4 linked regions of the Arabidopsis thaliana genome follow. The protein of the gene in region 1 interacts with the protein of each later gene in a pairwise test. Each region holds a gene or a part of one and is shown in the gene's direction. Other genes may lie near its edges.

Region 1 (4,207 bases):
TTACACGTGGCATCCTTTTATTGTATATTTACTTTTCCGTCCCTTACATTTTCTTATTTAAATAATCTGTTAACTTGCTTCTTCTTCTTCTTTCTTCATCTTCATCTTCATCTTCGCTTCACAATCTCTTTGAGACTTTTGCATCGGAGCAATAATAATATATTCATCGCAAAATCAGTGAATTTTGATATTCAAATCTTAATCGGCGATGGAACGAACAAGCAACGGAGGAATGTTGTATCACGAGGTTCAAGAGTCAAATCTGTGCGCCGTACACTGCGTCAACACGGTGTTGCAAGGGCCTTTCTTCTCTGAATTCGATTTGGCTGCCGTCGCCGCCGATCTAGACGGGAAGGAGCGTCAGGTTATGCTTGAAGGTGCTGCCGTTGGAGGTTTTGCTCCCGGCGATTTCTTAGCTGAAGAGTCGCACAATGTTTCCCTCGGCGGCGATTTTAGTATCCAGGTACGAATTCGCGATGAAATTGATAAATCTTGAGTTGCATTCAACATTTATATATTGTAAAGCCTTTTTGTTATTGTGTTGTTGGAAGTTTAGGCAAAATTAGGGTTTCGATTTTATGGTGCTTTTGATTGCTGTGTTTATGCTGAAGTGATAAACTTTTGAATGGTTGGATTCGTTTTTAGATAGATTCAAGAAGAATTGAGATCAGTAATGGTGTGAATTTGCGATCTTTACTTTGGGTTAAAACTCATTTGTTGAAGGCTAGTTTCATTGTGCGAACATTGCTATGCTGATAAATGGAGGAACTTGAGATGATTTTTTTTATCTTGGGACTCAATTGTTTTGGATATGTTAGTTATTAGTGAGGTTCTGTATATTCAATTATCATCTTTTGTTTCTTGGATAGCTTTAAACCGAGTTGGTTGATAACTTGATATTTGATTAGGTTGCTACAAAAGTCAGGTTTGATTGCAAGATTTATGTATTGAGATTCAAGGGTATAGTATGGTGTTTTACATCACATTTTTAGATATCTAAAATTAAAGCTATTTTAACGGATTACGTTGAAGTTGGATGCGGATAAAACACTGCAAACAGAGGGTTTATGCGATTGGTGTAGCATTTTAATCTTGCAAAGTTGATCTAGTCTTTGCTTATTCGTTTAACTGAGAATGCTTCTGTTTGATTGACAGGTCTTGCAAAAAGCTTTGGAAGTGTGGGATCTACAAGTAATTCCACTCAATTGTCCAGATGCAGAGCCTGCGCAGATAGACCCTGAGCTTGAAAGCGCCTTTATCTGCCACTTGCATGACCATTGGTTTTGTATAAGGAAAGTGAATGGCGAATGGTATAACTTTGATAGTCTCCTTGCTGCCCCGCAACATTTATCGAAGTTCTACCTTTCTGCGTTCTTAGACTCTCTCAAAGGCGCAGGATGGAGTATCTTCATAGTGAAAGGAAACTTCCCTCAGGAATGTCCCATGTCGTCTTCTTCTGAAGCTTCCAATAGTTTCGGGCAGTGGCTTTCTCCTGAAGACGCAGAGAGAATAAGAAAGAACACGAGCTCAGGTTCTTCTGCCAGAAACAAGAGAAGTAATGACAATGTTAATCAACAAAGACGGAATCAGGCATTGTCACGTGAGGAAGTGCAGGCTTTTTCAGAGATGGAAGATGATGACTTGAAGGCAGCAATTGCAGCAAGTTTGCTTGATGCTTCTGCTGCTGAGGCCAATCTCGGAGCTGTGGGCACTTCTGAAAAGGAAACTGAGAAACAAAAGTAGCAGAGAAAATAGAGAACAAGTGTTATTGATGGAGGTGGTGGGATATTCACTTTTGTTTCTTTGTTTTGGTTTGTTATCAAGAGTTATCAACAATTTTACATACAGAACAGAGAAAGAAAAAAGCTTACATCGAAAGATAGAAAACAGAGGATAATAAATGGTTTGTGGAATTGTTTTTGTTTGATTTTTTTACCATATTAAATTCTTCTGACAATCTTAAATTGAGGATAAAGATTCGACCTTTTCGAATTCATAGGAAACTACATCTGAAAAGGGTACATAAATTACTTCAGTTGACTAAAAGTAGATGAATGACCAATTTAAATGTGTTCTATGGAAAATATAAAAGGATGGTGTAAAATTTGATTCATCTCTAAGTACAATCTGGCGAACTTTTACAGTTTGAAAAAAACAAGAAGGATAACACTTTTAGGCTGGAAATAAAAACATCGAGAGGACAACAAACACCTTCTTTTTCCCTAAACAGAGCATAGCCTTTGAATTATTAATTAATTATTTGTATATTCAAAGTTGATGGCTTTGATGATGATGGTGATGACCCAACTTTAGTCTCTTCTTCACTTTTTATTTTTACTTTCTTTGTGATACATCAGGTTCCTTCGATTCGAGCCTTTAGGATTTCCTTTCACATAATGATCTGTTTCTGACATTCAGAGAAAGATATACATATCTGGGTTACTTTTGGGATCTGATCATCTGAGGAAATCTGAATCCAAGTTTGCTCTGATCTTTCTTCTCAAATGAGTTCTTCTTCGGACAAGTTGTTCAACAGAGACAGGACAATACATGAGATTCTGGGAGGAGGCATTGGTTAGTGAATACATTTCTTTACCAAATCCAAAACTTATAAAAGCTAGGTGATCTCTCACCTCTATAGCCTTTTTTTTTTCTTGTTATGAAATGAATCTGCAGTTGCAGATGTGATGCTGTGGAGGAAGAAGAATGTGAGTGTTGGTATAGTTACAGTGACAATAGCTTCATGGATGGTGTTTGAGGCATTTGCTTACACTATCTTTACTCTTATTTCAAGTGTTCTTCTTCTCTTGCTCTCTATTCTCTTCCTCTGGTCCAAATCTGCTTCCATTCTCAACAGGTATATTAATATTCACTTGTAACTAATATTACTTCATTTCTGATTCAATTTCTTGGCTCTTCAGGCCATCACCGCCGTTACCGGAGTTTCAAATAAGTGAAGCGATGGCGGAAGAAGCTTCGATATGGTTACGTATTCATGTGAACAAGCTACTCCAAGTTTCGCATGACATTGCAATGGCAAGAGACTCAGAGTTGTATACCAAAGTAGCAGTGTCACTGTTTCTTCTCTCATTGATCGGAAGTCTCATGGATTTTCAGACACTTTGCCACACCAGTAAGTAGATATTCTAAAACTCCTATAGACTTGGAATGCTTTTGAGCTGGATATTCATTTTGTGGTTGTTCTTGGTTAATTTGGCAGGCGTTTTGGTGGTTATGACGGTTCCAGCTTTCTATGAGAGATATGAGGATTACATTGTTGGCTCTATTGAGTTTATCTGCAACAAAACTAGAGAGCTTTACCTTAGACTCGAGATATGGGCTAATCCGGAAAATAAGAAACTGAGCTGAGATGCTGTCACCTCTTTCTTCTTCAGGAGTTTCTTTTTCTGATTTTTCTCGGTTTTGTGGAAAGAAAGGAGAAAAATGTATGATTTTTGATAAATGTTGGATGGTACAGCCAATATATGAGCAATCCACAGAAATTTTATTTCACAGTTTTACTCGAAAACTGAATCTCTATTCCGAAAACAATATTCGACCAAGTTCTGGCCTCTCTCAATCACCGAAAATGAAGAAGAAAACAATGTTGCTCTTATTCCCTCTGCTTAAAACTATGTGTCTCAGTTTCTTTTGGACGCATCGAGTTCCCGGACATACTTCTTTGCCTGGATTAGAGTATTAAGAACCCGGATTAGAAAATGAGAAAGAAGACTTTGCGTGACCGATTCGAATGCGATTGCGATAAAATAAAAATTCTATCAGTTGTTACCTGTTCGAGGGTCAAAAACATGATTACGTTCCATGAGCCAAGGCGTCCAAAGTTGGGGATGAAACCCTTGTAAAATGCCATAGGACCCTGTAGAGGAAACCGTAAAGAGTTTGTAACATTTTCTGGGTTATATCTAGAACAATGGAGGTATCAGAAGCAGAGTTGCTTACGTCGCTCTTCAGAGTTTTGACGAAGCAGTCAATGGTGCCCTTGTAAGCACCAGAATCTCCCATCATTCTTGACTTAACCTGCCACACAACAAGATTTAAGTAGACAATCAGGAAACGTGGTGAATAAACTCAAGGTTCAATGTCATGAGTAAATACTTTACCACGTCGACAGGAGAGCCGATGCAGACAGCAAAGAATCCTGCTCCCAGTCCAGATAGAATATGTGTGACAACGTTGTCAGTGAAAC
Region 2 (4,428 bases), on another chromosome or scaffold:
ATAAAAATCCGGCTACACTATAGGTTTACTATCACCAGCTCTATGCAGACTGTTTATCCATGAACACAAAAGATTCACTACTTGAGAGAGACATAAGAAACAAAATAAGAGAGCTTGAACAAAGAAAACAATCATGGGACATGACTCATCCAAAACGATCATTTATGGCAAAGTAATCATACTTTGACATAGATTCATTCTACTCAGTAGTGGTGCCTAAGATTTGCTTTGGAGATCAATTAGAAGACCTAGAAAACAACATTTATTTTTTCAAAAGCAGAAACCATATGAAACCAAGAGGACTTTTACAGGTAGCTAACCTCTTCTTGAAACCTCTGGAGCATGAGCCGCTTCTGCTCAAGATCAGTGGCGTAAGGATCTAACTGACCCTGTCCCAGAATCGGTGATGCCCATGTTTGCCCTTTCTCCCTCTTCTGCAGGGTAATGTGCATTATATCATCCTCTGCCAAATCAAACATAACAATCCAGATTAGCAATCAGTGCCAGACTATGAACCTAAAAAAACTATGCCAGTAACTTACATACGCTGATAATATAACCCAAAATATACTGTACATTCCATCATCCCTCCATTAGTCTCAAATTTTCCACATTCCAAACTATATGTCCCACTATTTATACCAAACTCAGATCACATTTCCAGGTTCAGTTTATCCTCTCTAGCAATAGTGAACGGGTCTAAAAACAGAAACCTAACCATCAAAAACAAGCACCCAATACAGACACAAAAACAAAAAATGGAGTACCTAGAGTCCAGAACGAGCAATCAGTCTTCACAGGAGCACTAAGATCGTGCTGAAAATTGACAAAATTTAGACAATTGAATCGAGTTATATATACCACATCGAATAACTCAGATTTATGAGACAAACGGATCAAAAACATTGAAAGATAGCGAAAGAAACTGACATTGAGATAGGGAGGGTTGCCTTTGATGCCAACTTCGATATGTTTCGACTGGATTTTGCAGTGGAATGACTTTGGATGAACATTTGGCGGCAAAGTTATGTACATGTTCACTTCTTCCAGGGTTTGATCCCACTCAAATACCTTTTGACCTATAACCATCGGAAATCGAAGAACATTCAAACCAAATCTCGTGAAATGGAATCAGCTGAAATTAGAGAAATAGAGCGAGGGGATAGAGAAAGCGAGAAACCATTGTGAATGAAATCGTGTCTCTTCTCTGGCGCAAGCTTCTCCGCCATATCTAGGGTTTTCTTCTCCGTTCCCGGCGAAATCGATCACCGTTGATAGTAGTTGTTCTGGTTCCTTTTCAATTCGTCTCAACATTGGAGGACAGGCATTTATGATTCAGTCCTTTCATAATCATGTATTTTCTTTTAGGGTTCTTAGTTTTAGTTATTTACGCTTAGATCCCTTTTCTTGAGGTACACTCCGTTTCTAACTTGGAAGTCAAAACTCCATGCCGTTTTATTGAAGTTCTTCCAAGTTCCAAGAAACATTTTTTTGTTGTCGCCAAAGTAGAACACTCTTTCACAATTCCACAGAAAATTTAAAGATGAGAAGTGGGTCTATTCAATGCATAGAATACGGAGGAAAACAAAATTGAAAGAAGAGTAATGTGTAGGTCTACCACAAAACATGGTCCATTTTAAAGCCTTAAACGTAGCCAAGTGTGTTAGTTTTTTAGCTTTTCAATGTCCTTTGGGACAAGAGATACACTGTACCCATTTCCCCCTTTCAGTTTCTTCAACGTAGACAGGGTAGTTATTCAATTTTCTCATATTAAAACGTTATACGTGATCAAAGACTTTGACTTATAACAGAAGAATAATTTTGATCAATCAAAAAGTTGTTTGATAATGTAAATTATGGTCTTCCATTTCGCTAATCCAAAAACTTACTTTCTCAATTCCATTGGTCAACTTGTTTCATTTGATGAAATTCGATATGATACATGTTTGGCCACTGCATGAATCGAACGACAGTTAGATCTCAAATCGGTTTGGTTTCGGGTACATGAGTTCTAGTTATGAAAAAACAATCATCACGACTCACGAGTGTATATATAACTAGTTCATTGAATAAGTTGTCGGCTAATATTCGGTTTTGACCGGTGAGACTGTTAACTAAAATGAATACTATTAGAGTAGAGACCCACTTGAAGTGTACTATAATTTTAAAAGCCGGCCAGCAACCACGGGCCAGACTCTGCCTCTCGCAAAATCTTGACCGTCCGATTGAGAACCGGACAAAATGCTGTACACGACGGTTCCTTAAAAAACTATTGTAACAACTGTTGCTTTCGTAACACATTCCAGAACCACAAATTAAATTGATAAACACGTTAACATGAAACCCAAAACACTGTTTGACTTTAGTCTATTTTATCTTAAACAAATGTTGCTTCGTTATGCTACATCGTAGCTGTGTTCAAAGCAACTTGCTTTGGATAATTTATCATAGCCTTTAAAACAGGTAAGCATCGAGTCTTGAAACTATCCTAAAACACGTTGAATCAGTCCCACAAACTTTTTTTGTCTTTACTCTAAGCGTTTATATGAAGCTTTGATCAAAGTCCATAACTCACTAATAATCACAATGGGGTCTGAAAATGGCAGCTTGATGAGAAGAAACGAAGTAGACGAGAATGTAGCGTTAATCTTTGGCGTCACCGGGCTTGTGGGTCGAGAGATTGTTAAGACGCTATTAATGTCTAAACCAGGATGGAGAATCTACGGCGTAGCGCGTAACCCGGAGATCAATTCCATGACGAAGATGTACAACTTCATCTCCTGCGATCTGCTTAACGCATCTGAGACTAAACAGAGGTTGTCTCCATTACAAGACATCGTGAGTCACGTGTTTTGGGTCACGTGGTCTGGTGAGTTTCCATTGGATACCGACGAATGTTGCGTACAGAACAAGACGATGCTGATGAACGCTTTGGACGCGATTCTCCCAAACGCTAAGAGGTTAAAGCATTTCTCGCTTCAAACGGGGATGAAGCATTATGTGTCTTTGGTGGAAGAGACAATGGCTCGTGGAGAAGGTTCGAGTTTGTATTATTACAGCGAGGAGTGTCCAAGAAAGAGCTCTGGGAAGAATTTCTACTATGTTTTGGAGGACTTGCTGAAGGAGAAGATCACTCGTAGTTCCGTTGTTTGGTCGGTTCAAAGACCTGGTTTGCTAATGGGAAGCTCTTCAAGAACTCTGTACAACTTCATGGGAAGTCTTTGTGTTTATGGAGCGATGTGTAAGTATTTGAATCTTCCTTTTGTGTTTGGAGGAACAAGAGAATGTTGGGAAGAGAGTTACATAGATGGCTCTGATTCGAATTTAGTCGCGGAGCAGCATATATTCGCTGCAACAAGTGGGAAAGTACGCGAGAAAGGGGAAGCTTTTAACGCCATTAATGGAGTAGGGTTTACTTGGAAGGAGATTTGGCCGGAAATAGGGAAGAAACTTGGTGTACAAGTTAACGAAACAACCATGTTTGATGAAGGTTTCTGGTTTGGGAGAGAGATGGTTGAGAGAAAACATGTGTGGGATGAGATTGTTGTGAAGGAGAAGCTTGTTAGGACAGAGATTGAGGATTTGGCGAATTGGTATTTCTTGGATGCTCTGTTTAGATGTCCGTTTAAGCTTCTTGGGAAAAGAGAAAAAGTAGATAGGTTTGGGTTTAAGAGGAAATATAGAACCCTAGATTCGGTTTTGTATTGGATTGATGTGATGAGAGATGAAAAACTCATTCCTTTGTAACACATGTTGTACATTAGCAATGTAGATCACGGTATATATGTACTTGATCAATAATCCTCATGTAAGTTTTGTTTGTTTGAATAATGAGCTTTCCACAAATCCTTTTAAGCTAAATCATTAAACATAAATCCTTTGCAGTGAAATGCAATAGCTAAGTTAGATTCCAAGCAGTGGATAACCAAAATTCCAGTCAGGTTTCGTAAACGCGTCCGAACAAATGTGAATGTATTGTGACATATAATAAGATGAAGTAGTGGCAGACCATACTTGAGACAACAACAAGATGATTAGCTGGACTCAGTTTGTTTATCGATGTTATTGCATACGTAGTACAGATGAGTTTTGGCTGTCAAGATGACGTAAGAGTAAAGACATTTCATCCCATGTCTCCACTCTTCACTCAGCGAGATCAAGAATCATTCCAACAAGTAAGAGAAAACAGGGGAGAGTAAAAACTGAAGAGAAGATTCAAGATTGATCCATTCCACATACTTACTACAATTCATACTTAAGAATCACCAAAAAGGATTTCAAGAAAATGCCATACAAAAGCCGATCATGCGCCCCCAAAAGAAAAAAGAAGCAAAATTGCCGCCAAAGGCAAAACAGGGGATGCTACTAAAACAGACTCTGTACAAGAAAACCTACAAAAACAGAGTAAGTTAGTTATACATAACGACC
Region 3 (7,223 bases), 340 kb from region 1:
CTGAATTCACAATTTGCCTCAAAACCGAATCTATCTTAACGACAAGACCTGCTTTGCTATACGCGTTAACAAGCGAACAATAAGTGATTGAGTTTGGTTTCACTCCTTGATACTTCATTTTCCTGAATACATCATCCATTTTCTCAATTCTTCCAGCTTTTCCAAACGTCTCAATCACTATATTGTAAGTGACAGTCGTCAGGGAGAAGAACCTTTTCTCCATAAAATCCATAACAGAGCACATCTTCTTATACATACCAGCTTTTCCAAATGACAGGATCAGTATGTTAAATGTAGTGATATCCGGTTGCACCCCCATCAGCTGGAACCGACTATACCAGCTCTCCATCTTCCTCATGTTGCGACCATTTCCATATGACCCAATGATCGAGTTAAGCGTACAAACATCCGGAAGAGAATCTCCGTCCTCGATCATATCAGCCAGAACACTTTCCATTTCCTCAAACATTCCAGCCTTTCCATACCCATCAATAATAGTATTGTAAGTAACCGTGCTGCATCCAACTCCAAGATACGACATCTCAAGAACGATACTTTTAACCAGATCAAACCGACCCAGTTTGCAGCAACAACTGATGAGAACAGTAAAGGTGAACACATCTGGCTTGCAGTCACTAACAGATTTCATATACTCAAGTGTAGAAAACGCCTTGTCTAGAAGCTCGCTTTTGCCATAAACAGAGATAAGAGAGGTATACACATCAATGGTTGGTTTCAATCCTTCAGATAACATAACTTCGAAAAGCAAGCTGGCTTGATCAGGCTGTTTACAATTCCCAAGCACTTTAAACAGCTTTGTATAAGTTTTGCATCTTGGTTCATACCAATGCTGCTTCCTAAGAAGATTGAAAATCTATAAAGTAGAGAAACAGGAAAGTGAATTCTATCGAATCTATGTCCAAGTATCTGTAAGAATGAAGAAGGATTAAAGAGCTGTACCTTGAGAGCAGACTGCCATCGATTCTCTTTGATAGCTTCGTCAAGAGCTTCTAGAACAGCTTTTGGCCATAAAGTTAAGTACTTTTCGGAATTGGCTTTCCTCTCAATGCCCTTCACAGCAGCATCTGTTCTCAGAATCCGAGACAATTCTTTCTTAGGATCTACTTGGTGTCTTGTTGAGATCAAACCAGAATTCATTTTCTCTGTACGTTCGTTGGGGACCTTTGTCGAACACATTGTGGGCGTTATTGAAATAGTTGGTATACACCGAAAATAAACAGGGGAAGATATATGTTGCTGAACCACGCTTCTGCAAGAATGAGAAACAGAGAAAGATAGATTTAATATAAACACAACTGAAGAATTAAAGAAACGTAAAATTCAAAACAGTATGATTGTATGAAATATGAGAATGTTACCGAGAAAAACCAAGTTGTGCGATCTCATTGGCGTACGCGGAAGTAGTTCCTTGAACAGGATTTTGTATCAATGCCATCGAAGAAAAATGGTAGAAAGATAAGGTGGAGAAAAAGAAACTGCAAATTTTCTGGGTAGAAAGCAGAGCTAGAAGACGACGACGATACCGTTGTTTTTCCTTCGTTTTTTTCTTCTTCTCCGGTTTGGTGTAGCTTCTCTTCGGTTTGTAAAATATAATGAAATGGTTTTAGTTTTGATTTGGATGCCGGTTTAATTTGGATTTACAAAATTAAAAATTTAGCATTAATCAGTTTTTTCTTGTCCGGTTTAAAGGATTGGATTGATGAAGGAAGAACCAAATGGAGCTTTTTCCAATTTAATTTTGAATTCGAATTTGTTAAAACGAGATTGTCCTTGGCAAGGAACCGGAATTTGGAAAATGAAAAACCAAGAACACAGTTGAAAGTTATCCACACTAGTTAGGACACGTGGAGGCTAATGTATTTCACGTGGACACGTGCTCATCACTCTCCTCTAAACGCCGTCGTGAAGTTTAAAGGTCAGAGACATCGGCCACCGACCAAATCAGACAAGGAAAAGTCAACGATTTGATTGGATCTTCTTCACTTATGCTTTAAAACCGTTCCTGTAATAAACTGTGAAGATTGTAAGAAGATTAACACGAATCAAGAACATCGAACTGTTGACTTTAGACAGAGAGAGACGGAGATGGAGTTTAGTGAGTTAAAGGAAGCAATAGAGAAGATAGAGCTCGTTGATGCTCACGCACACAACATTGTCTCTCTTGACTCATCTTTTCCGTTCATCGGAACTTTCTCCGAGGCTGCCGGCGACGCTTTAACCTTCGCTCCTCATTCTCTCTCCTTCAAGGTACACGACGATACCAAGTGTTTTTGCTCTAGTTAGTTTTCGTTTGAATCAGATTCTAATTAATGAAAACGTTAGCTTAAAGTTTCCTAATTAGTCTCAAAAGTATTAGTTAACTAAAGTTTCGAGTGTTACTCAAAAGATGTTGACTTGTTTAGGAATCTCGTGAAGTTGGTATGAATGTTTTTGGTTGTATGAATGAAACAGAGGAACTTGAGGGAGATTGCTCAACTTTATGGCACTGAAGTATCTTTAGAAGCGGTTGAGGAACATCGTAAAACCTCGGGTTTGGATTCTTTTACTTCCAAGTGTTTTAAAGAAGCTCGAATCTCTGCTCTCCTCATTGATGATGGATTAAAGCTAGACAAGAAACATGATATTGAATGGCATAGAAACTTTGTTCCATTCGTTGGTAGAGTGTTGCGTATCGAAACTCTTGCCGAGCAAATCCTCGAAGAGGAGTGTCCTGGTGGTTATTTCTATGGTTCTGAGAGTACTGAACCGCCTGTTTGGGATTTAGATTCTTTCACCAAAACCTTTGTTGAAAGATTAAATTCATATCCTTTTATCTTTGCTTTTTTAATACACGCTTAATGATTGTGACTATACTCACTAGTATTGGTTAACCTTGACTACTTCGGTCACGCTTGTTCCAGAGATTGTTGCTTTGAAAACTATTGCTGCATATCGTAGCGGTTTGGATATTGATACTTATGTGAGTAAAGAAGTTGCTGAGAATGGCCTTGTTGAAGTCTTGCGAGGTAAGATGGTTGTGCTTGGTCTATCAAGAAGTAACATAGTTGTTGTCTGATCACCTTAAAATCTAATATTGCTGCAGCTGGAAAGCCTGTCCGCATAGGAAACAAGGGCTTGATTGACTACATCCTTACCATTAGTTTGGAGGTCGCTGTGCGTCGCGACTTGCCCTTGCAGATTCACACCGGGTATGCAAGATTTGATCAACTATATGATTGATGTTAGTAAAGTCTGATCTTTTTATCAAACAAACCTTACACAGAAACAGAAACTCATGCTCAGAGGTTTGTAGTAATGAAAATTCTCCTTTTCTTTTGTTGTTTGAGCCAGTTTTGGTGACAAGGATTTGGATTTGAGGTTGTCGAATCCTCTTCACCTTAGAACCCTTCTTGAAGACAAAAGATTTGGAAAGTGTCGTATAGTTCTTCTTCATGCAGCTTATCCATTCTCAAAGGAAGCATCCTTTCTGTCTTCAGTTTATCCTCAGGTTTTTCGTCATCCCATTTCAATTATCTGTAAAATCATGCCTAGTCATTAACTTATTTTCTTGTTCCTTAAGGTTTACCTTGATTTCGGCTTGGCGGTTCCAAAGCTTAGTGTCCATGGTATGGTTTCTTCAGTTAAAGAGCTCCTTGACTTAGCATCAATAAAGAAGGTAAAATTTATTTTACTTGCATTATCTTTGTTATTGTTCATGAGTAACCATAAGATATTATTGCAGGTTATGTTCAGCACTGATGGGTATGCATCTCCTGAGACCTACTATTTAGGTTAGCTCAAGTTTCTACCTCTTTTCTATAGTTTGTAACATACTTATATATGTTCCAATCCTGTTTCTAAGCTTTGGCACTTGAAATCGTCTTGCTTCAGTCTTGAACATAGCTCGCTGTTTTTTGCAGGTGCAAAGAAAGCACGTGAGGTTATCTTCTTAGTTCTGAGTGATGCTTGTGCCAGTGGTGATCTCTCACTCATGGAAGCTATTGATGCAGCTAAAGACATATTCTCACGAAATTCTATTGGATTTTATAAGCTTAATATAGACACAGATTCTTCTAGTCCACAAAATATAATATCTCCCAAATTGAAGATAAAGGAGCCTGATGTTCAAGAAGATAGTAGTTCTTTTGTACGCATTATTTGGGTTGATACATCTGGACAACAAAGATGCCGTGTGAGTTTTTTTTTTTTGGTTTCTTCTAAAGAAAAAACCTCTGTTTCCCACCTCAACGATTTTTCCTTAGAAGCACAAAAACTTAACTAGAATTCTGTTTATTGTATTGTTTCAGGCTGTTCAAGCGCAGCGTTTTAACAGAAGTGTGAAGAAGAACGGCGTTGGTCTGACCTTTGCATCAATGGGGATGACTTCATTTACTGATGGACCAGCAGAAGAGTCTAAATTGACAGGTGTGGGTGAGATTAGACTTGTTCCAGATCTATCAACCAAGCAGACAATACCTTGGTACTTTACTCGTGTTCATTCTCTTTGGAGTTAATTTTACAGATGTTTCTTTCTTAATTGTTTCCGTATCATATTTTATCATTAGGACGAAGCAAGAGAGCATGGTTTTAGCTGATATGCAATTGAAGCCTGGTGAAGCATGGGGGTACTGTCCACGAGAGACCTTAAGAAGGGTCGCAAAAGTTCTCAAAGATGAATTTGACTTGGTAAGAAATCTCCATATAGCCATTCTACGAAAACTTTTATTTGCTTTTTGGTTGCTTAAGCTCAAATCTTCCTTGGCTTTTAGGTAATGAACGCTGGTTTTGAGAATGAGTTTTATCTCCTCAAGAACGTTGTGCGGTATGCGACTATATATTTCTTGAATACCGGTTTCTTTGTTCAATCCAATCATTTTCACAATCTTAACACTTGTTCTGTCCATTTTTTAAAAGGGAAGGGAAAGAAGAGTATATGCCTTTTGACTTTGGTCCTTACTGTGCCACATCCTCATTCGATGCTGCATCTCCGATCTTCCATGATATTGTACCCGCACTCGAGTCCTTGAACATCGAAGTTGAACAGGTTACAAATAATTCAAAAATCCCTCATAATGATCAGTCTGCAACATGCTTCTTGACATGTATGAAATTTTTTCATAGTTTCATGCTGAATCCGGGAAAGGTCAGTTTGAAGTATCTCTCGGTCACACCATTGCATCCCATGCTGCCGACAACTTGGTCTACACACGTGAAGTTATAAGATCGGTTGCAAGGAAACAGGGATTGCTCGCAACCTTTGTTCCAAAGTATGTCAGTCTCTCCCACCAAATTATTCGTTGTAACTGCAAATTTTTAACATATGTGTTTTTTCTTCAGGTATGATTATTGTGACATTGGTTCTGGATCACATGTGCATCTAAGTCTTTGGAAAAACGGCGAAAATGTCTTCCCGGCATCTAATAACTCATCTTCTCATGGAATCTCTTCCGTTGGAGAAGAGTTCATGGCCGGAGTTCTATTTCATCTTCCATCAATCTTAGCTATTATAGCTCCACTCCCAAACAGGTAACTCGAAAACCGTACTTTTCGAGTAATTTCCTCAATTGTTATTAAAAGTTGTGTGTGTCACTTAAATTTCCAGCTACGACCGAATCCAACCTAATACATGGAGTGGAGCATTCCAATGTTGGGGCAAAGAAAACCGCGAAGCAGCGTTAAGAGCAGCTTCTCCACCAGGAACTCCTGATGGTTTAGTTACTAACTTTGAGATAAAGTCTTTTGATGGCTCTGCAAATCCTCACCTTGGTTTGGCTGTTATAATGGCTGCTGGTATTGATGGTCTCCGGCGACATCTTCAACTTCCTACTCCAATAGGTAACTAAAAACTTATGTTATTCATTCTCATGTATATGTAGTGTTAATATGAAGCTTGATCTTGAGTTGTTCGGATGGAACAGATATAAATCCGGCGGATGTGGCTGCTACATTGAACAGACTTCCGGAAACGCTCTCAGAAGCTGTTGAAGCTCTGGACAAAGACAAAGTTCTCCACGATTTGCTCGGACAAAAGCTTTTAGTTGCCATAAAAGGAGTCCGTAAGGTAACACTATAGTCTTTTAGTTTCCCATTAGATTCTCAGTGGTAACAAAGTACATTAGCACTAATCTATTGTTTTTGTCTTTTTAAATTTTTTTGTGTAACAGGCTGAGGTCGAGTATTATTCGAAGAATCCGGATGCATATAAGCAACTCATTCACCGATACTAATCCTTTGAGCATCTCTATGATGATTGTTGGATCATTTGGTTTTATTGTGGACTTTGTGTCACATGAAGGGTCGTATTTGCAAAATACTTGACATAAAGATGTGGTTCAGAAAATTAATAAACTAAATTTCATATTTCGAGACGCATGCTCATGCTGGAGTACTATTTGTATTTCTTACTTTTTCGTCCCATGCTTTCAAAAGCCTCAAGAATATACAGAGTATTTTCAATAATACGGAGTAGTTCTTAATCATTTACATTTGTCTATGAATTGAATTTGACTACTAATACTCGGAAACAAAAAAATGATTGTAGTATTAGGAGCGCAAATACCCTTTAACCATTGTTCTTTCCATGTTCTTAGTCCGGCTATTGTTATCTAGGTAGGTGCCTGATCCCTTTTTTTCAAATCTTTCTTATTCATTACTTTGACTAATTAACCTATTTAATCATATTTAATCTCCCTTTAATCTGCAAACTAAAGCACATGTTTTTTTTTATGAAAGAAAAGGTTAGTATGACATTCTTTTGGTAAATCTCATCATATTATTTATTTAATTTTAAGAAATTGGAGTTTAAAGTGTAATTAAGTTATGCTACCTAGCTAATTTCCTTAAAATATGAACGATAAGTATAGAAATTAAAGTAAAGATTAGGTTTATACGGTACGCTTATTATGCTCAAACAAGTGGACGAACAAAATCCATCTCCATGTGACTATGGAAGAGAACTTATTAATAAGTCCAAATTTTTTTCTTGCAAACTTTATGATTTCATTCACACTAGACAAATTAATTGTTCGTAAGAAGGTATACGTACAACATAATGAGCTTTTACTGCTTCCCTTTGCAAACGAATCAGCTAAAACTTTACAGATTTATATGTTCAAGGGAAACTATAACTAAGATTTGAAGGAAAAATCTAACCTTTCTACTACAACAATAAAAGTCAATGCAAGGTCCTTTGAAAAGAATCTTGTTGTCGCATGCATGTACGT
Region 4 (3,965 bases), on another chromosome or scaffold:
ACAGTAGAGATGTTTGATGCAGATCAATTCCTAATTGAAATGGATTTATCATCTGAGCACAAGATTCTTGATCTAAAGAACAGAATCGAAGCATCGATTGTGATATGGAAGAGGAAAATGGTGCAGAAGGACACAAAGTCTCCTTGGGGATCAACAGTGAGTATTGAGAAAAGAGAACAGTTTGAAGAAAGAGCTGAAACCATCTTGCTACTATTAAAACAAGGGTTTCCCGGAATCTCACAGTCCTCGCTCGATATCAGCAAGATTCAATTCAACAGAGTAATTTAAAACTCTTAACTTCCAAATACATTTTGATTGTGTTTTCTCTATGGTCATGAGAAAATCTCATTATTGGATAATTGTTGTTGCAGGATGTAGGACTTGCGATATTGGAGAGTTATTCAAGAGTGCTTGAGAGTTTAGCTCACACCGTGATGTCGAGAATAGAAGACGTGCTTTACGCTGATCAGCTTACTCAAGAACCTACAAATAATGCACCTTCTAAGAACAGATATAGCTTGAAGGAGAATGAGAAACTAAGAGAGGAAAGACTAAGTTTCACAGAGGATATGGCTTCAGGAACACTTTCTGATGTTATGCAATGGGGTAACAAAAACAATGAAATGAAGAAAGAAAGCTTTTTCGGAGATAGAGAGAAACCGTTGTTGTCGAAAGTCACAGGTATAATGACTAACAACAAGAAGAGTTCTTATCTTGATAATCTTGGAGCTATGAGGAGTCCAACCGCAAGATACTCCTGAGAGAAACCGGTTTCTTTTTTCCGTTCTTGTTAAATTAGGGCTTCTTACTGCATTTTCAATCTGCTTAAAGATTCCACAAAATGCACCATTGTGTGTTGTAGCAGACTTGAAATGCAATTTCATTGATTCATCATAACTGATTTTCAGAATCACTAGCTTACAAAGCAATTAACACAACACAGTACAATATACATAAATAGGGTTCATAGAATTGGGGAGAAAGTTTCTGACTTTTTGAAAGATTTTAGAAAGCTAATTTAAAGCTTGCCGCGAGGACCGAGCTTAGGTGGCTCTTGAGGACCTCTCTTAATCGGAAGAACATCGCCGGTAGAGTTCGCACTAACATATGTAAGCAAAGAGCCTCCTCCAAGAATCAAAAATTTGAGAAGCAAACCTCTCTTTGTGAAAGGAGCAGCAAATGTCTCAAAGAACTTGCTCTGCAAGCAACATAATCACAAAGTCTTAGAATTTGAAGAAGCATATAGATCTAAAGATTTAAGAGTGTACAAAAACCTGAAGTGGGTTATAAGGAGAAGGAGCATCAGATCCATACACATCCCATTGTCCTGTTGTGTTACCCAAATCTTCTAAATCAAAGTATACACTTTTGTCTCCATACTTAGCCACCACAGCACCAGCTCTACACAAACAATCAAAAGTAACATCCTTTCTTTAATACCAATCCTCATCAATGTCAATCCAAGATTCCAAATTTCAAAGCTTTAAACTTTACCTGGTGGATTTGGTTTTGAAGCTTTGGCGAGAAGGTTTGATGAAGAGCTTAGCTCCGGCAAGAGAGCTACCTCCAAGTCCTTTCACGGCGGCAGAAGGTTGTACGGCGGCGATGGTTGCAAAAGACGCCATGTTAATTTCTCTCTTTGTTGTTGTTTGTTTGTTGCCAAAGTAAGTGAGTGGATTGATGTAATTTGTATAGTGGAGAATCTTCTTCACTCATTTGATAGATCTTGTTCTGCCACGTGGCGAATTGGGTTGTCATCTTTGAGATTTGATATGCCACTTAGGAAATGCCACGTGGATTATAAAAAGATAAGGCTATCTCTAATCCATAACCAAAAATTTCTTCGTCTCTGTCTCCAAAATCGAATCAAAATCTCTAAAGTTTCAATTTTTTTGTTCTGTTCTTTTTATTTTTTTAAAGAATGGCTTCAATTTCTGCAACTTTGCCTTCGCCATTGTTACTCACACAGAGAAAATCCAATCTCACATCGATTCAAAAACTCCCATTTTCTCTAACTCGAGGTACGAATGATCTTTCTCCATTATCTCTTACTCGAAACCCTAGCAGCATCAGTCTGATGGTGAAAGCTAGTGGAGAAAGCTCAGATTCATCGACTGATCTCGACGTTGTTAGTACGATTCAGAATGTTGTGAGTCCCTAAATCTCTATAAACCCTACATTAGACTCTGTTCTCAGTTACATATATGCCTTAGTTTTGATTTGGACATTTTTTAAATTTGTAAATTATTGCAGTGGGATAAGTCTGAAGATAGGTTAGGTCTTATTGGTTTGGGTTTTGCTGGTATTGTAGCTCTTTGGGCATCATTGAATCTCATCACGGTATAGTAATGAAAAGACTCAAAACTTTTATCTTTTGTTGTGCTTAATTTTGTGAGACTTGATGACAAAGACTTGTTCTTTTTCTTCGTTAGGCAATCGACAAATTGCCCGTTATCTCGAGCGGATTCGAACTAGTTGGTATCTTGTTCTCCACGGTAAGTAATAAGGCTTGGTATCATCTCAATAAGTATAAATGTTATGATCCTTGATTCTTCTAGCATTTGATATCTCCATTTCTGCAGTGGTTCACATATCGATATCTCTTGTTCAAACCGGACAGGTAATTTTTTTTTCTTTAAATGCGGTTATGAAATCGAATGCTGGTGTTTTTGTTTAACCTAAGTCTTTGTTTATTTTTTCAGACAGGAGCTTTCGAAAATTGTCAAGAAATCAGTAGCGGATATACTTGGCCAGTGAACCTTGTGTGTGTGATAATACTTCATCTTTGGAAGATGATTTGTTTGCAAGTTTGTAAAATTACATGACAGGGTGGTTGTTGTTTCTAGTCCAATAATGTCATGCATTTGAAACCTGTAAATACTTTATTGTTGGTTTTTGGTTGTGAGCAAAATCAATCTTTTCTAATTTCAAAGATTCTCTTTTATGATTATACGTTTTAAATCAGGGTTTCAATTTTATTGTTTCCGCATATCAAAAGCCATAATTTTTCAAGTTCAGAGCTTCAACAAATTTGTTATTTCTCAAATCCAAAAGCCCTTTTTCTATTTCACGATTCTGGCTTTTGTTTTGTTTTCAGTTTTCTGGTACATAAACCCTAAAATCAATGATTAAGGTTCTTTTATAAATCTTGTTTGCATAAACTATGGTTCTTGCTGGACTGGAACGTAACAGCTTGATAAAACTATTCAATCTTCTGCATGATGATGGGAATAATTAGAGCACCAACCAAAAGAAATAACTAGGTGTCACCTTAGCAGAACCAAACAAGCTCTCCCTCCATAAATTAGTATTTGCGGCAACCATAATTAGGTCCCTGGTACTCTCAAGCTGCGAAGAATTTTCCTTCAGACTTGGAGAAGCCACATCTCCTGTGTGCATGTCTTTCTTCTCACTAATAGGTTCAATATTCTTTTCCATCACCTACAATTTAAGAAGGCCACATTTAAAACAGACATGGAGGATAGGGAAAACAGTTGAAACCAATAAGTATCATATGCACTCTGAATTCGAGACATTAGGTGAGGTTTCAGAACTAAACATTTGGATTCACAAATCACAATTAGTCCTTGGCTTTAAATAATAACCCTAAAAAGAGAGGAATCATTCATCAAGAAGAAGAAGAAGAAGAAGAAGAAGAAGAAGAAGAAGAAGAAGTAATGTTTTTAAGATGATCTATAGATATATGCTATAGGGCTGTTGTATTTGTCTTCAGGCGGAATGTGCTTAACATGCATTCACAGGTTCAAGGGTCTTCATCATCATTTTTAGTTTAAGGCTCTCTTGAAAGTTTGTAGTCTTTAAAGTTTAAACTGATTTTGATCTTAACTTTTGAATATTTAAGATTATTTATCCAGTTATTAAAAACAAATCTCTCAATTTCGTCGAAAACTAAAAAAATTTAGATTTGGAATTATGATTTTATTTCTGTTTTTTTTTTGCGCTTG

The links.
Region 2: the proteins of AT3G54120 (region 1) and AT5G58750 interact in a two-hybrid assay, tested with the Arabidopsis thaliana proteins (one large-scale study listed by BioGRID).
Region 3: the proteins of AT3G54120 (region 1) and NodGS interact in a two-hybrid assay, tested with the Arabidopsis thaliana proteins (one large-scale study listed by BioGRID).
Region 4: the proteins of AT3G54120 (region 1) and AT1G52220 interact in a two-hybrid assay, tested with the Arabidopsis thaliana proteins (one large-scale study listed by BioGRID).

Annotation. Positions count from the first base shown.
Region 1 is NC_003074.8:20,040,431-20,044,637, reverse strand, and holds AT3G54120 (Reticulon family protein), read left to right. Parts: upstream 1-2,297; 5' UTR 2,298-2,504; coding exon 2,505-2,574; intron 2,575-2,676; coding exon 2,677-2,857; intron 2,858-2,921; coding exon 2,922-3,133; intron 3,134-3,220; coding exon 3,221-3,369; 3' UTR 3,370-3,512; downstream 3,513-4,207. Other genes in the region: AT3G54130 (Josephin family protein), read left to right, coding at 209-463, 1,156-1,743; PUMP1 (plant uncoupling mitochondrial protein 1), read right to left, coding at 3,642-3,686, 3,791-3,877, 3,961-4,038, 4,122-4,207.
Region 2 is NC_003076.8:23,726,300-23,730,727, forward strand, and holds AT5G58750 (NAD(P)-binding Rossmann-fold superfamily protein), read left to right. Parts: upstream 1-2,288; 5' UTR 2,289-2,586; coding exon 2,587-3,747; 3' UTR 3,748-3,843; downstream 3,844-4,428. Other genes in the region: AT5G58740 (HSP20-like chaperones superfamily protein), read right to left, coding at 321-463, 768-816, 931-1,079, 1,181-1,229.
Region 3 is NC_003074.8:19,704,962-19,712,184, forward strand, and holds NodGS (nodulin/glutamine synthase-like protein), read left to right. Parts: upstream 1-1,858; 5' UTR 1,859-2,106; coding exon 2,107-2,268; intron 2,269-2,472; coding exon 2,473-2,822; intron 2,823-2,910; coding exon 2,911-3,026; intron 3,027-3,103; coding exon 3,104-3,209; intron 3,210-3,351; coding exon 3,352-3,508; intron 3,509-3,580; coding exon 3,581-3,676; intron 3,677-3,742; coding exon 3,743-3,791; intron 3,792-3,920; coding exon 3,921-4,192; intron 4,193-4,307; coding exon 4,308-4,480; intron 4,481-4,565; coding exon 4,566-4,686; intron 4,687-4,769; coding exon 4,770-4,822; intron 4,823-4,914; coding exon 4,915-5,044; intron 5,045-5,121; coding exon 5,122-5,267; intron 5,268-5,337; coding exon 5,338-5,526; intron 5,527-5,602; coding exon 5,603-5,835; intron 5,836-5,918; coding exon 5,919-6,061; intron 6,062-6,164; coding exon 6,165-6,227; 3' UTR 6,228-6,499; downstream 6,500-7,223. Other genes in the region: AT3G53170 (LOW protein: PPR containing protein), read right to left, coding at 1-874, 961-1,270, 1,380-1,456.
Region 4 is NC_003070.9:19,452,562-19,456,526, reverse strand, and holds AT1G52220 (CURVATURE THYLAKOID protein), read left to right. Parts: upstream 1-1,761; 5' UTR 1,762-1,921; coding exon 1,922-2,149; intron 2,150-2,253; coding exon 2,254-2,340; intron 2,341-2,432; coding exon 2,433-2,495; coding exon of another isoform or gene 2,496-2,549; exon of another isoform or gene 2,550-2,582; coding exon 2,583-2,620; intron 2,621-2,702; coding exon 2,703-2,757; 3' UTR 2,758-3,047; downstream 3,048-3,965. Other genes in the region: ROPGEF11 (rop guanine nucleotide exchange factor-like protein), read left to right, coding at 1-279, 372-761; PSAH2 (photosystem I subunit H2), read right to left, coding at 1,019-1,198, 1,275-1,401, 1,495-1,625. UniProt on the Arabidopsis thaliana protein: Determines thylakoid architecture by inducing membrane curvature.